Canis lupus familiaris: one gene and its partners. The protein of the gene in region 1 binds, or shares a complex with, the protein of each later gene. Links are inferred from orthologs where the notes say so. Each region holds a gene or a part of one and is shown on either strand. Other genes may lie near its edges. The genes, in order: DIAPH1, PFN2 and PPFIA3.

Region 1 (3,741 bases):
CGGGGGGCCTCTGTCGTGTGAACACAGTGGTGCTGCGTCACATTTCTGAAGAAGCTGACAGCCCCGCTGAAAAGCTGGGCCTACTGACCCTGTTTGGCTTCTGTCTTGTCTAAAGCTTCTTGCTGGTCTAAACAAGGCAAGGCAGAGGTATTCTGGGTGCTTCGTTCGCCACCTCCTCTGGACCTCGCCTTCACGTGCATGTCCTGGAGCTGCCCCAGCCCTGCCGTCTTCCTGTTAGAGCTCTGGGCTCCTCTCACTGGCCCTGCTTTAAGCCTTAGGCGCTGCTTTCTTCAGTCATCTTGCCCACGAGCCAGCAAGTGGGGTTTGAGATAAAATCAAATGCTTAAAATTCACCCTTTAAAAAGTATGTACTTCAGTATTTTAACAAGTTTGTGCAGATATCACCACTACCTAATTCCAGATTATCATCATCACCCCAGAAAGAAACCCCATCGCCATGAGCAGTCATTTCCCCCAGCCCCTGACAGTCACAAATCTACTTCCTGTCTCCCTGGATGTGTCATTCTAGACATTTCATAGAAATGGGACTCCTAGCACATGTGGCCTTCGTGTCTGGCTTCTTTCAGCCCCGGCAGGCAGCTCTTTGTGTACATGTGGTCTCTCTCTGCTGCTTGTAGGGCATGGGAAGAGGCAGAGAGCATGAGCTGGGCACAGTCCCAAGGAACTGCCTTTGTGCTGCAGATTTATGGTCCCAGTATCTTCATTCCATAAATTAACACGAGAGTCTTAGAACAGAAACCCGTGGGTTGATTGGTTCTTTTCTTCCTAAGATGACAACTGGAGCTTCACAATCCCTTAGCCCTTTGGGCTGAGATTGCCTTGTGGGGGGCGGTCCTGGCCTTCCTTGACCCCAGCTCTGCATTCCCTGACAGCTCTCATGACCCACCCGCTCCCACACCCCCCATACATACATACCTTGTAGGGCCCTTGGCATGCGTATCTCAGCTGCTGCCCTTGAAGAAACAGGAAAGAGCTAGGATGTAGGCATGGGGAGAGGAAAGGAAGGCTCGGGGAACACTGGGGAATGTGATGTGCATGTGGTGGCAGTGCATGGCCGCTGCTGTGCTCCTCTTTGCAGGAGTCCCCCCGGGCAGCCTGCAGCAGGCCCTCCTCTGCTGGGGCCAGCCATCCGCAGGGCTGGCTGAAAATGGTTTTGGCCCAGGAGGATCCCTGGACGCTGCCAGGAAAACAAAAATAATACTCTTTTACTAACCTTGGGGCTATTTAACTCCAACAACCCTGTGATGAGAACACACATTTTGAGTACTTAATTTCTCCTTAAGTTACACAGCAGACTGGCTCCACGTTCTGGCTGGCTGGCTGCATTGACACCCGTGTAGTGTCCACCCAGGGAAGCACGAGCGAGGCTCGCTCTCCTGCCTGCACCCTGCCCTTAACATTCTCTGCACAGAGAAAATCTCTTCCCCGTGTTCTGGGATCCCCGCCCCTCCTGCTTTCAAATAGGGGCCTCCCTGAATCAGAGAGTGCAGCCACATTCGTTCGCATGGCTTCAGGCTGAGCCTCTGCCAGAGTGTCGGAAAGGGATTGGAAATTGAGCCTTGTGTGGTCAAGCTCTTTCATGTCTCCTCTTTGCAGCCAACAGGAAGGCCGGGTGTGCAGTCACGTCTCTGCTAGCCTCGGAGCTGACCAAGGACAACGCCATGACTGCTGTTCCTTCTAAGGTGCCCAGGAAAAGTGAGGGGGTCCCCACCATCCTGGAGGAAACCAAGGAGTTGGTTGGCCGTGCAAACTAAGCTGGGTCCTACGGCCATAGCAGCTCCTCCAGGAGCCCCAGACTGTCTGGTCCTGTGGCATGTGCCTCCAGGGTCGCGGAAGTATTCCTCTGGGGCGGCTGCTGCTACCACCCTGACCCTCTTCCTATGTCCATCAGCACAGCTTCAGCTGCCGGGAGGCCAGCAGGAGAGGGCAGAGCAGGGAGGCCCGAGCCCCACCCAGCCAGCCTGGCTGTCGTATTACCAAAGCAGGCTCCGTGTTTGCTGCCTTAACCCCAAGTGTCTCCTCTCTGTCACTGAGGCCTTGTCTCAGACGAGGCCCCACCTGCTTTCCCAGCCCCTGCCTTTCCAGTGGGCTTTCCCCTGGGTCAATCTCACTGGGTTTGTGCTTTTCTTTTGTGGTTTCTCGAGCCCTGCCAACAGCATGGGGCTTGTGCACCTTTGGGCTCTCTCCCTCCTTTCACTGCTGTCACCTCTGCTCTGCTGTTCCCTTTCCTGGTTATTGTTATTTATTACTAGTGGTGTGACCGTGGGAGCCATGCCTAGAGAAGTGGGGAGCAAGCCCCACCCTTACTGCACCTTCCTGGGAACGGCCTCCCAAAACAAAAAGGACCTGGACCACTTGATCTGTTCTATGGTGGCCAAGAGCCTGTGGAGAGGCAATGTCTAGAGACACTGTGGGACCCATCCCCAGCCTGCTGCCATGTCTTATGACTCTGCCTCTGTGAACTCTCTATACCTGCCTGGGCTCCTGAGCCGTGGTCACTGCTCACACCTTCCCCCAAGCTTTGGTGCATCTCATCTGGAGTATGGGCTGTACTGTGACCATCCCAACACCTCACCCTTTGTCTCCAAGGAAATGGGAGGTGGAGCCTCCTGGCTGAGAAATTGTTTTGCAAATGGATCTATTTTTATATGAGATTTTTTTTTTTTTTTAAAGAAAATAACTATTCCTTTCCCCTTTCCCCTCCATAGTGTAAGAGGCTCTGATAGCAAGGTCCCAGCATCCCTGGGATTTATCCCCACAGGCCTCAATCCTGAGCAGGACCTTGGACCTTTGCCTCAGCCCTAAGCCTGGCCTGTGTAGATTCTCTCTCCCATTATCCAGTTCTGGGGCACAGCTTCTCTGGTAGAGCTGAACCAGGCCTAAGAATAATGGGAGCTCTGAGACCACAGTTTTTATAAATTTAATATATTTATCAAGCCAAATGTGCAAATGCTAACTGGGCCCTGGGCAAGTAAGCACAGGAGTATGGCCACACAGCATAGCCCTGCTCCCTTCTGAACAGTGGGCAGACCAAGCTGCTCAGTAGCCCCGGCTCCAGGAAGCTCAGGTTCTCTGGCTCCAGGTGACACTTTGCCCTCCTTGTGCTTTCAGCTTCCCACCCCCCAGGTAGGGAGAGAGAATGGTACTGTTACGGCTTACCCAGAATTCAAGTTTTGGAGCAAAGGGGGGACTTAGGCGACCGAAGCATTCCTGCAGGGAGGCTTTCAGGCCGGGAACCTGGGTGCTGGCTCAGCCTTCAGGCCTGTGTGTGAAGGTGCAACAGCAGCTCCTTTGAGCTCTTTCCTAGAAGGTGGGGGTGAGGGGGAGGCTGCCTCCCTGAGTCTGCTCCTCCTCCCTGCTGACATCTGGGGCTTTGACCCTTTCTTTTTTAATCTACTTTTGCTAAGATGCATTTAATAAAAAAATACACAAAAAACAAAATGCAAACTATTTCCCTTGCCTCTTGGGCTTCTGGGATGTCATCACCTCCAGTTTATTGGGTTTGTTTCCAGTTGTTAATAAAGCATTGAAACAGTATTACCTTACCATCTGCTTTGTGAGTTTAAGCTGTTTTCCAAATCCCTGGTTGACCTGACAAATAAGTGTCAAAAAGTTTAAGGTGCCTGTCATGTGCCAAACACCCTGCTTGGGCCTCTGCCCTTGAGCCTGCACAGCCTGCACCAAGTGCACCGAGGAGTCGCTCCAGTGCAGGCCCCGCCC
Region 2 (3,741 bases), on another chromosome or scaffold:
CATCAAAACCACTACAAAGAGGTAAGGTAGCCAACCAGCAAGTGTAAGTGGATCAGGTGGGCGGCACACCTGCAAAAAACGAAAACAATTTTGGCTCACATTTTGTACCTCGTAGGTATTTTGTTACCATCAGAACATGAGAAAAATGCACCGTGTCCATCTCCTGGGTTCCTGACTTGGGGGTTCCTGCGGGGGGGGGAGGGGAGGGTTCCTCCTAGTGTGCTCCCCCCCCCCCCTTGCAGTAGCTGATTTCAGAAAAATTTTAAAGCAAACAGCAGGGGTTTAAAAAAAAAAAAAAAAAAAAAAAGGATCCCTGGGTGGCGCAGCGGTTTAGCGCCTGCCTTTGACCCAGGGCGCGATCCTGGAGACCCGGGATCGAATCCCACGTCGGGCTCCCTGCATGGAGCCTGCTTCTCCCTCTGCCTGTGTCTCTGCCTCTCTCTCTCTCTGCGACTATCATAAATAAAATAAAAAAATATTCTACCTTTAAAAAAATAAATAAAAAATAAAAAGAAAGAAAGAAAACTTTAGAACCCATTAAATTGCTTCAGCAACATTTTTTGTCTTCTCTCCCGAGGTCACACCCCGTGACCTTTAAATTCGAAAACGGACTTTTCGGCGTTTTGAACGCGCTTCCCTCTTTCCCTCGGCTGGCGGGTCGCGTCCGTTCACCCAAAAGGGACCTCCTGGTCGGGCGTCCCCTCGGGGCGCCCAGAGGTCGCGGGGAGACGGGCAGCCCCGCCGCAGGGTCCCGCCGTCCCCGCCCCCGCCGAACGCTCCCATCCCGTCGCCCGGGCAACGCGGCCGTGCGGGCCCCGGAGCCGCATCCCCAGCCGCGCGGCGCGCCACGGCGCGGTCGCGGGGGGCCCCGGGCTTCCCCCCCACCCCCCGGCCCCGCGGCTGGAGGAGGCGGCGGCGGCGGAGGCGGCGAGGAGACGCCCGGGCCTCGGCGCCGCACGTGGCGGCCGCGATTGTCCCCCTCGGCGGTATCCCTCCGCGCCCCCGCCTCGGCCGCCGCCTCCCTGGCCGGGACCCCCGCGGGCGCGGCGCCGCGGAAGGATCGCACGCACGGGCACGCGCACGGGCACACGCACGGGCACGCGCACGCCCGCTCCGCCGCGGCCGCGGACCAGGCTGAGGCGCCGCGGCGAGGAGCAGCCGCCGCCGCCCGCACAGGCGCTCCGAGCGCGGCGTCCCCGCTGCTGGTCAGTCAGCGCCGCGGCGGCCGGCGGGCGGGCAGGCGGGCGGGCGGGCGGGCGGGCAGGCCGGGCGCGCCCCGCGGTCGCCCCTCGCCGCCGTCCCCGCGTCCTCCCTCCGCGGCGCCTCGGGGAGGGGGGCGGTCGGTGCCTGCGCAGAGCCGCCTCCTCCCCGCCCCCGCCCCGCCCCCCCCGCGCCGCCGCCGCCCGCCGCCCGCCGCCGCCGCTGCGCCTGCTGCTCCTCGCCGTCCCCGCTGCAGTGCGAAGGGCTCGAAGATGGCCGGTTGGCAGAGCTACGTGGACAACCTGATGTGCGATGGCTGCTGCCAGGAGGCCGCCATTGTCGGCTACTGCGACGCCAAATACGTCTGGGCAGCCACGGCCGGGGGCGTCTTCCAGAGCATCACGGTGAGGACCGGCGGCGGCCGGCCGGGGCCCCGTCCCCGTCCCCGTCCCGGTCCCCGGACCCGAGCGCGGCCGGCCGGGCGGGGGCCGCCCTGAGGGCCGCGCGGCAGGTGTGGGAGCGGCCGGCGCCGAGGATGCGGCCGAGGCCGGGGGCGCCGGTCCGCGGAGCTGGGGGAGGGGGCGCGCGGCGGCCGGGGCCGGGGGGCGGGCGGGGGGGCGGCTGCTTGTGGTCTCCCGCGAGCCCCGCGCTGTGCCCTGCACGGCCCGGGGTGCACGCGGGCCCCGGGGGGGGGGGATCCTCCGGCGGCCGGGCTGCCCCTCGCGCCGCGCGGGCTGTGGGAGGCGGCGGCCGCCGGGCGCCCGGCCCCTCGCGGCCACTTTGCGGCGGTTCGCGGGCGTCCAGGCCTTTGCGGCTGGGGAGCCACGGACGCCGGCCACGCAGAGGGAGCTTCGCGAATCTCGACTTCGCCTCTGGCTCTATAGGGCTTTTTTTTTTTTTGAATTATTATTATTTTTTTTTTCTTAAATTCTCCCAAGATGGCGAACTGCCATTGATTTCTCTCCTCCTCCTGTGGAGATTTCATCGATACACCGTTATCCCCAATTACGCAACCCAGCCCTGGCATCGGGGGGCGCGCTCCTGGGGCGTTCGGCCGTCCGTGCGGCCGAGGGGACGCCGGGCTGCCCCAGGTCCCTCCCCCCGCCGCGGGCATCGTGAAGGAACTGATGCAGGTTTACGCTCCGCGGGGCCCGGGCTCCCTGTGACTCGCCGGCGTGGACTCGGTCGCCACATGTTTGGGGGCGACGGCTCCTCGGCCTCCGGTGCCGCTTTGTTGCTGTGCCTCTCTGTGCGCAGGGCCCTCGTCTGAGCCGTGACGCTGTGTCAGACACGGGGAGCGTTCCCGTAATTTCCGAGCCCCACGCTCCTCTCCCATCCCACGCCGAGCCTGAGGCCCCCCGTGACGGGTGCCCCTAATTCTCGCGTCCTGGTGAGCCCGGCTCTAGGATCTGAGTGTGTGGGCGTCCGCCCCGGGTGCGGGGACCTCGAGGTCTCCGGTAGCCGCAGCGGACCACAGCGGTTCCAGAGAATTGGCATCTGTCTGGCGACCAACTTTTTTCCTGCGGTGCCCTGGTCTTTGTGTGCGAGTTCCCGCTGTCTGGCTGGGAGGATTGCGGGGAATGTGCTTGGAAATGGCTGGGGCCTGCTATGACTCTGCAGTTCTGATGGGGGCGACGCCTTCCTCCTTATTCAGGGAATGTTAGAATGCACGTTTTCTCCTTTCCGGTTTCGGGGGACTACCTCAGTTGCTTTCCCAGTCTCCCTCCATTTTCTCTCTCTCTCTCTCTTTTTTTTGTGTGTGTGTGTGTGTGTGTTGGTGGTGGTGGCTCTGTTTTTGTTTTCTCCCTTTCCTACTGCAATGCTACCTACCAAGAGAATCCTCTCCTGCATCTGCCAAGAAAGAAAACTGATGACTGACTGAGGTGGGAGGGGAAGGGGAAGTGGGAGAGGATAAAGAGAGCGGCTGGCGAAATAGAGAGGAGGGAAATACGAATTTGGGAGTGTGTGGAGGTCTAGGGTTTGAAATCCATACCAGGAAGGCGGTTCAAGCCATTTCAAGCAGAGGAGACGGGGACAGGTCTGCTGAGCATGGGCATTATTTCAGGAGACTTTCAAGCAACTGGAAGTTTGATGCAGCGTGACTGTAATGTGCCTGAATGTGACAGACAAGCAGTTGCTGAAAGAGTTTGTAGGTGAAGCTTTACCATTACATAAGCCCTTCAGGTGCCATCTGACTTGAAACAGTTTATAAATAATCTCTTTCCGTTTGCAGTTGACCTGGTGTCAGCTAGCAACCACATAGATTCTTCGCATAGACTGGTCTTCAGTTAGTACCTTACCTGTGAAACAAAGTGATGTAAAACATGCAGCCGTGTAGGATTAAGTAATTCTTTGGAAAAGACAAACTTCATGTTACACTAGTGAAATGGGGAAGGACCTCTAGTAGGATACAGACTTAGCACACAGTTTTTCCACTTATATGGAGACCTTGAAAGGAATTAATTACAACTTCATGTTTTTTTTCTTTCTTTTTTTTTTTTTTTTTTGGTCGGGGCAGCCAGTAGAAATAGATATGATTGT
Region 3 (3,741 bases), on another chromosome or scaffold:
TGCGTGTCTGTCCTGCATTCTGGGGTTAGAGTGTCTTGAGCTGTAGGGGAGGGAGAGAAGCTGAAGTCTAGAACAGGCCCGGAAGAAACCCTTTTGAGTCTGGGAGCAAAGGTAGAGACTTTCCCTCAAGATCTGATGGTGGAGGCTGGCCGGCTTCCTAAGCATAAGTCAAGGCAGAGGCTGGGACCTTGTCTGGGTCCGAGTGCGAGGTCATAACCAAAGACAACGCCCCCTGCCCTTAAGAGAGACTGAGGGCGAAGGCCAAGCCCCTTCTGTGGTTGGTCTGACAGAGGAGACCTGAGAAGCTGCAGAGCCGGTGGGCGGCCTCTGTGTGGGCGGGGTGGAGCGAACCATTAGCTTCGTTCGCCAGGGGAGCCCTGCAGGCCGTACTATCATCAGCGTGGGGGGTGGGAGTGCCGCGTGCAGTTCCTGAGGTGGGCGCAGGGGGTGCAGAACAAGGTGCACTCGCAGACCCGGCATTCACCCCACCTTCCAACCTGAGCGCGTGCCTCCGGGAGCCGCCCCCGCCTTAAAATCCACCCTTTACTCCCACCTCATCGCTGGTCCAGCCCTCGCGTCCCGTGCGGCGCTAGGGCCGGCGCGCGCCACCTCCGGGATCCGGGGTCGCAACTCGCATTCCACGCCGCGCGCCACTAGCTCCAGGTGACATCATCCCCCTGCCGGGCTCCGCCTCCCGCCCCAGCCGCCGCACGCCGCACGCTTATTGGCCGACGCGCCTCGAGCCCCGCCTTCCGCTCTCCGCCCGCGCGACCCCTCCCAGTCCGTGCGGAGGCGGGGTTTAGCCACCGGCCGGCTCCGACGACGCCTCCCATTGGCCACTCAGAGCCGTCTGTCAGTCTCCTGTTAAAGGGGCCACAACCGCACGGGAGCTGGTGGGGGGGGGGAGGGAGGAGGAATTTTTTTTGGGGGGGAGGTGGGATTTGGGGGGCGCTGGTGGGCACCCCTGGATCTGGCGGCTGCGGCCTCGCGGGGGGAGACTGAACGGTGATAGGGGCAGGGGGTTATTTTAGGGGGTAGAGGGCTGTGAGACCGTGAGGGGGAGGGGGGGTCCCCAGCGCCCAAGCCGGAGCCAGAGACGCGGAGCCCGCGCGAGCGGCGGAGACAGGGCTCCGGAGCCACAGATCCGGGCCCCGGCCGCCGCCAGGGGCCCCGCCCGGTCCCCCCACCCCACCCCACGTCCCTCCTGCAGCCCAGCTCCGCCCGCAGCCGCCGCGGACCAGGTAGGTAAGAGCCCGGCCCAGCCAGCTTGGCAGCGCCCACCCCGGGGACCCCTCGCCGAGCCTTCCTCGCTTTCCCGAGATCCTGGACTCCCTTCTTTATCCCCGGGGGCTCCGGAGCCCAGATTTCACAGCCCAACCCCAGAGACTCAGGCGTGCCCCTCCCGGCTCTCAGAGTCCCCAACCGAACCCTAGAATCCCAGGCGTACTGCTGCCTTGCGCCTCGTCCAGGGCCCAGGAGCCTGGATTTCCCAGTTCAGCCCCGGCAGCCCCCTCTGGACCTACATCCTCCTCCTCGGCCCAGCCCGGAGCTCCTAATACCTGCCGTGGCCGTGTCAGACCCCCAGCTAGGGCCAGCTGCCCCCCGTCGGGTGTGCATAGTCGCCTATTCGTGCACCCGGTGTGCCCATCTCCAGCCTCCGGCTTGAACAGCCAGCCTCGTCCCTCGGTCCAGGCCGGCTCGGCAGCCGCCCTGGACACAGGCCCGCTCCGGAGCTGTCCATGGTCAGCGCACTCGGCAGCTTCACCTCCCCCACCTCCCGCGGCCGCTGCCGCCGGGGAGGGGGCGCCTGCGGCGCGGGGAATACCCCCCGCCGCGCCTTTGACCCGGAGATACCCGGGCCCTTTCCGACCTGGGCGCCTGGGCCTCAGGGTTCCGCTGGTGAGCCTCTGGCCAGTGCTCAGTACCCCAGGTTTCTGGGATCCCAGCTGCTTCTCGAGGAGTCAGGGCTTCCGAATGTTCCTGCCTGGTCCACCCTAGGGATCTTAGCATCCAGGGATCCAGTTCCCACCTGGCTCTGGAAGCCCTGTCAGTGCTCACTCCGTCTGGCTGAGGCCCCAACTGGTAACCCCCACCTGCTCAGGACCTGGGAATCCAGTTTCCCAGCTTTCACCCCCTTTAGAGACCCAGCTCAACAGTCCCCTGTGCCCCCGAGACAAATATACCCAGCCTCCTGGCATCTCAACATCTGCCTGCTTAGGGATTCAGGCACCATGACTCTCTTGGAATGTAATTCTTAATGCAATTCTCTGGCTTCTGCCCACCTTCCCTTTTGCAGACCTAGATGCTTTGTCCCTGGTCCTGCATCCCCTCAGGGACCCAGGAGTTCAGACCCCGGCTTCTGTATTACCCACCAAAGATGCTGCAACCCTCATTCCCAACAAGGACTCAGGCTCCCAGCTTCCATCCCTTGTCCTTTATCTCCACAACGATTCAGGAGTCCAGCCCCCCACCAACTATCTAGCCCATTAGCTCTTGCTCTTAGGATTCCAGGTCCCCCCAGCCTTACAACCCCCATCAACTTGACATCTCTAGTGGCCTTAACAACTAACAACATGCCTCATCCCCATATCATCTCAGGCACTGGGCTCTCTGGGAGCTGTCTTCTCTTTTTCTCTACTCTGTTCCCTGAGACCTACTTTCTTGACATGTTTCCAGCACCCTATCATGATGTTTCTATGTCATGATGTTCCATCCTCTGAGTACACCTTCTCAAGATGATGGGCCAAACATACACCCCTTCCTCTAGATGTATTCTGTGACCTAGGTTCATTAGATGATCTAGAACCTACCCACTATCTTCCATATTCCCAGTTAAACTGTGCCCTTACATGCTCTAGAATCCTTCTAAATCTTAGAGCACTCTCAGCCAATATCTCTGTTCTGTTTGCACCCACGGTATATTCTCAATTCTAGGTTAAATACTAAATTCTAGGCATGTGTTTCCCCAGGGGAATTTAAACGTCTTGATAATGCCCCAAACCAAATTCTGATCCCACCTCCTCCTCACACATGTTCCAAATTTTTAGAAACTAGCACTTGCTTATTCTCTGCTAAATTTTATTTTAGGTGTGTTCTAGGTTCCAGCCACATCCTTGGCATTGTTCTAGATTCTGTTATCTTCCCAGGGGCATTCTATATTCTAGAATATGTGTGTTCCAATTATGTGCTCTAGCCTTTCTCCACATTCTGCTATCAGTTTTAAAATGTACTTTCCTATTTTAGGTCTACCCAGTTCTACAGTCTTAAATCTAAAAGATTCTTCCTGAAGTGTTGTGCATCTTCCTTTTTCAGGTACTAGGTTCTAGGCTCATCCATTCCCACCTTTTCGGTCCATCTTTTCCCTAATGTGACCTTCGTTTAGAACTTATCTCCTGGAGGATTGTGGGCTTCCTCCTCCATCTGTCACTTTAGCATTCTAAGCATGCTCTAGGCTCATCTCCTCTTTTGGAGTCTTCAGCTAGAAATGTCCTCATTTCCAGAACATCTCTCCCCCCCTTCCTTTGCCAGCTCAGTCCTTATGCCAGTGAATTCTCAATTCCCAGCATGCTTCTGAATCTTCCCCCAGGCACTTCTAAGTTCCAGGCAAACTCCTTGCTACTTTCTAGGGTTTCCCCCCACCTCCAGGGCATGTTCTGAATTCTAGAGCCTATTTTCTGCCTTCTGTCTATCATCTAGACACATGATAACACCAAGAGTGTGACCCCTGATACAGTCTTTGTT

What was found.
Region 2: the proteins of DIAPH1 (region 1) and PFN2 are in contact, whole or in part, in a crystal structure (PDB 2V8F), measured with the Mus musculus proteins. The link is inferred for Canis lupus familiaris from reciprocal best matches to the Homo sapiens genes DIAPH1 and PFN2. Residues at the interface, in NP_031884.1 of Mus musculus: Ile635, Pro636, Pro637, Pro638, Pro639, Pro640, Leu641; in NP_062283.1 of Mus musculus: Ala2, Gly3, Trp4, Ser6, Tyr7, Asn10, Ala28, Tyr30, Trp32, Arg108, Met131, Tyr134, Leu135, Ser138, Phe140.
Region 3: the proteins of DIAPH1 (region 1) and PPFIA3 are in contact, whole or in part, in a crystal structure (PDB 4UWX), measured with the Mus musculus proteins. The link is inferred for Canis lupus familiaris from reciprocal best matches to the Homo sapiens genes DIAPH1 and PPFIA3. Residues at the interface, in NP_031884.1 of Mus musculus: Lys252, Ser255, Ala256, Ile259, Gln307, Asn310, Ala311, Thr314, Pro315, Ala316, Glu317, Arg322, Gln352, Cys354, Val355, Glu358, Gln359, Glu362; in NP_084017.2 of Mus musculus: Pro719, Arg720, Arg723, Leu724, Arg726, Met727, Ala728, Ala730, Leu731.

What each region holds. Positions count from the first base shown.
Region 1 is NC_049223.1:35,631,113-35,634,853, reverse strand, and holds the end of DIAPH1 (protein diaphanous homolog 1), read left to right. Parts: intron 1-1,617; coding exon 1,618-1,775; 3' UTR 1,776-3,566; downstream 3,567-3,741. UniProt on the Homo sapiens protein: Actin nucleation and elongation factor required for the assembly of F-actin structures, such as actin cables and stress fibers. Binds to the barbed end of the actin filament and slows down actin polymerization and depolymerization.
Region 2 is NC_049244.1:45,210,277-45,214,017, reverse strand, and holds the start of PFN2 (profilin-2), read left to right. Parts: upstream 1-1,392; 5' UTR 1,393-1,472; coding exon 1,473-1,604; intron 1,605-3,718; coding exon 3,719-3,741. UniProt on the Homo sapiens protein: Binds to actin and affects the structure of the cytoskeleton. At high concentrations, profilin prevents the polymerization of actin, whereas it enhances it at low concentrations. By binding to PIP2, it inhibits the formation of IP3 and DG.
Region 3 is NC_049222.1:108,003,470-108,007,210, reverse strand, and holds the start of PPFIA3 (liprin-alpha-3), read left to right. Parts: upstream 1-1,095; 5' UTR 1,096-1,241; intron 1,242-1,523; exon of another isoform or gene 1,524-1,786; intron 1,787-3,342; exon of another isoform or gene 3,343-3,355; intron 3,356-3,741. UniProt on the Homo sapiens protein: May regulate the disassembly of focal adhesions. May localize receptor-like tyrosine phosphatases type 2A at specific sites on the plasma membrane, possibly regulating their interaction with the extracellular environment and their association with substrates.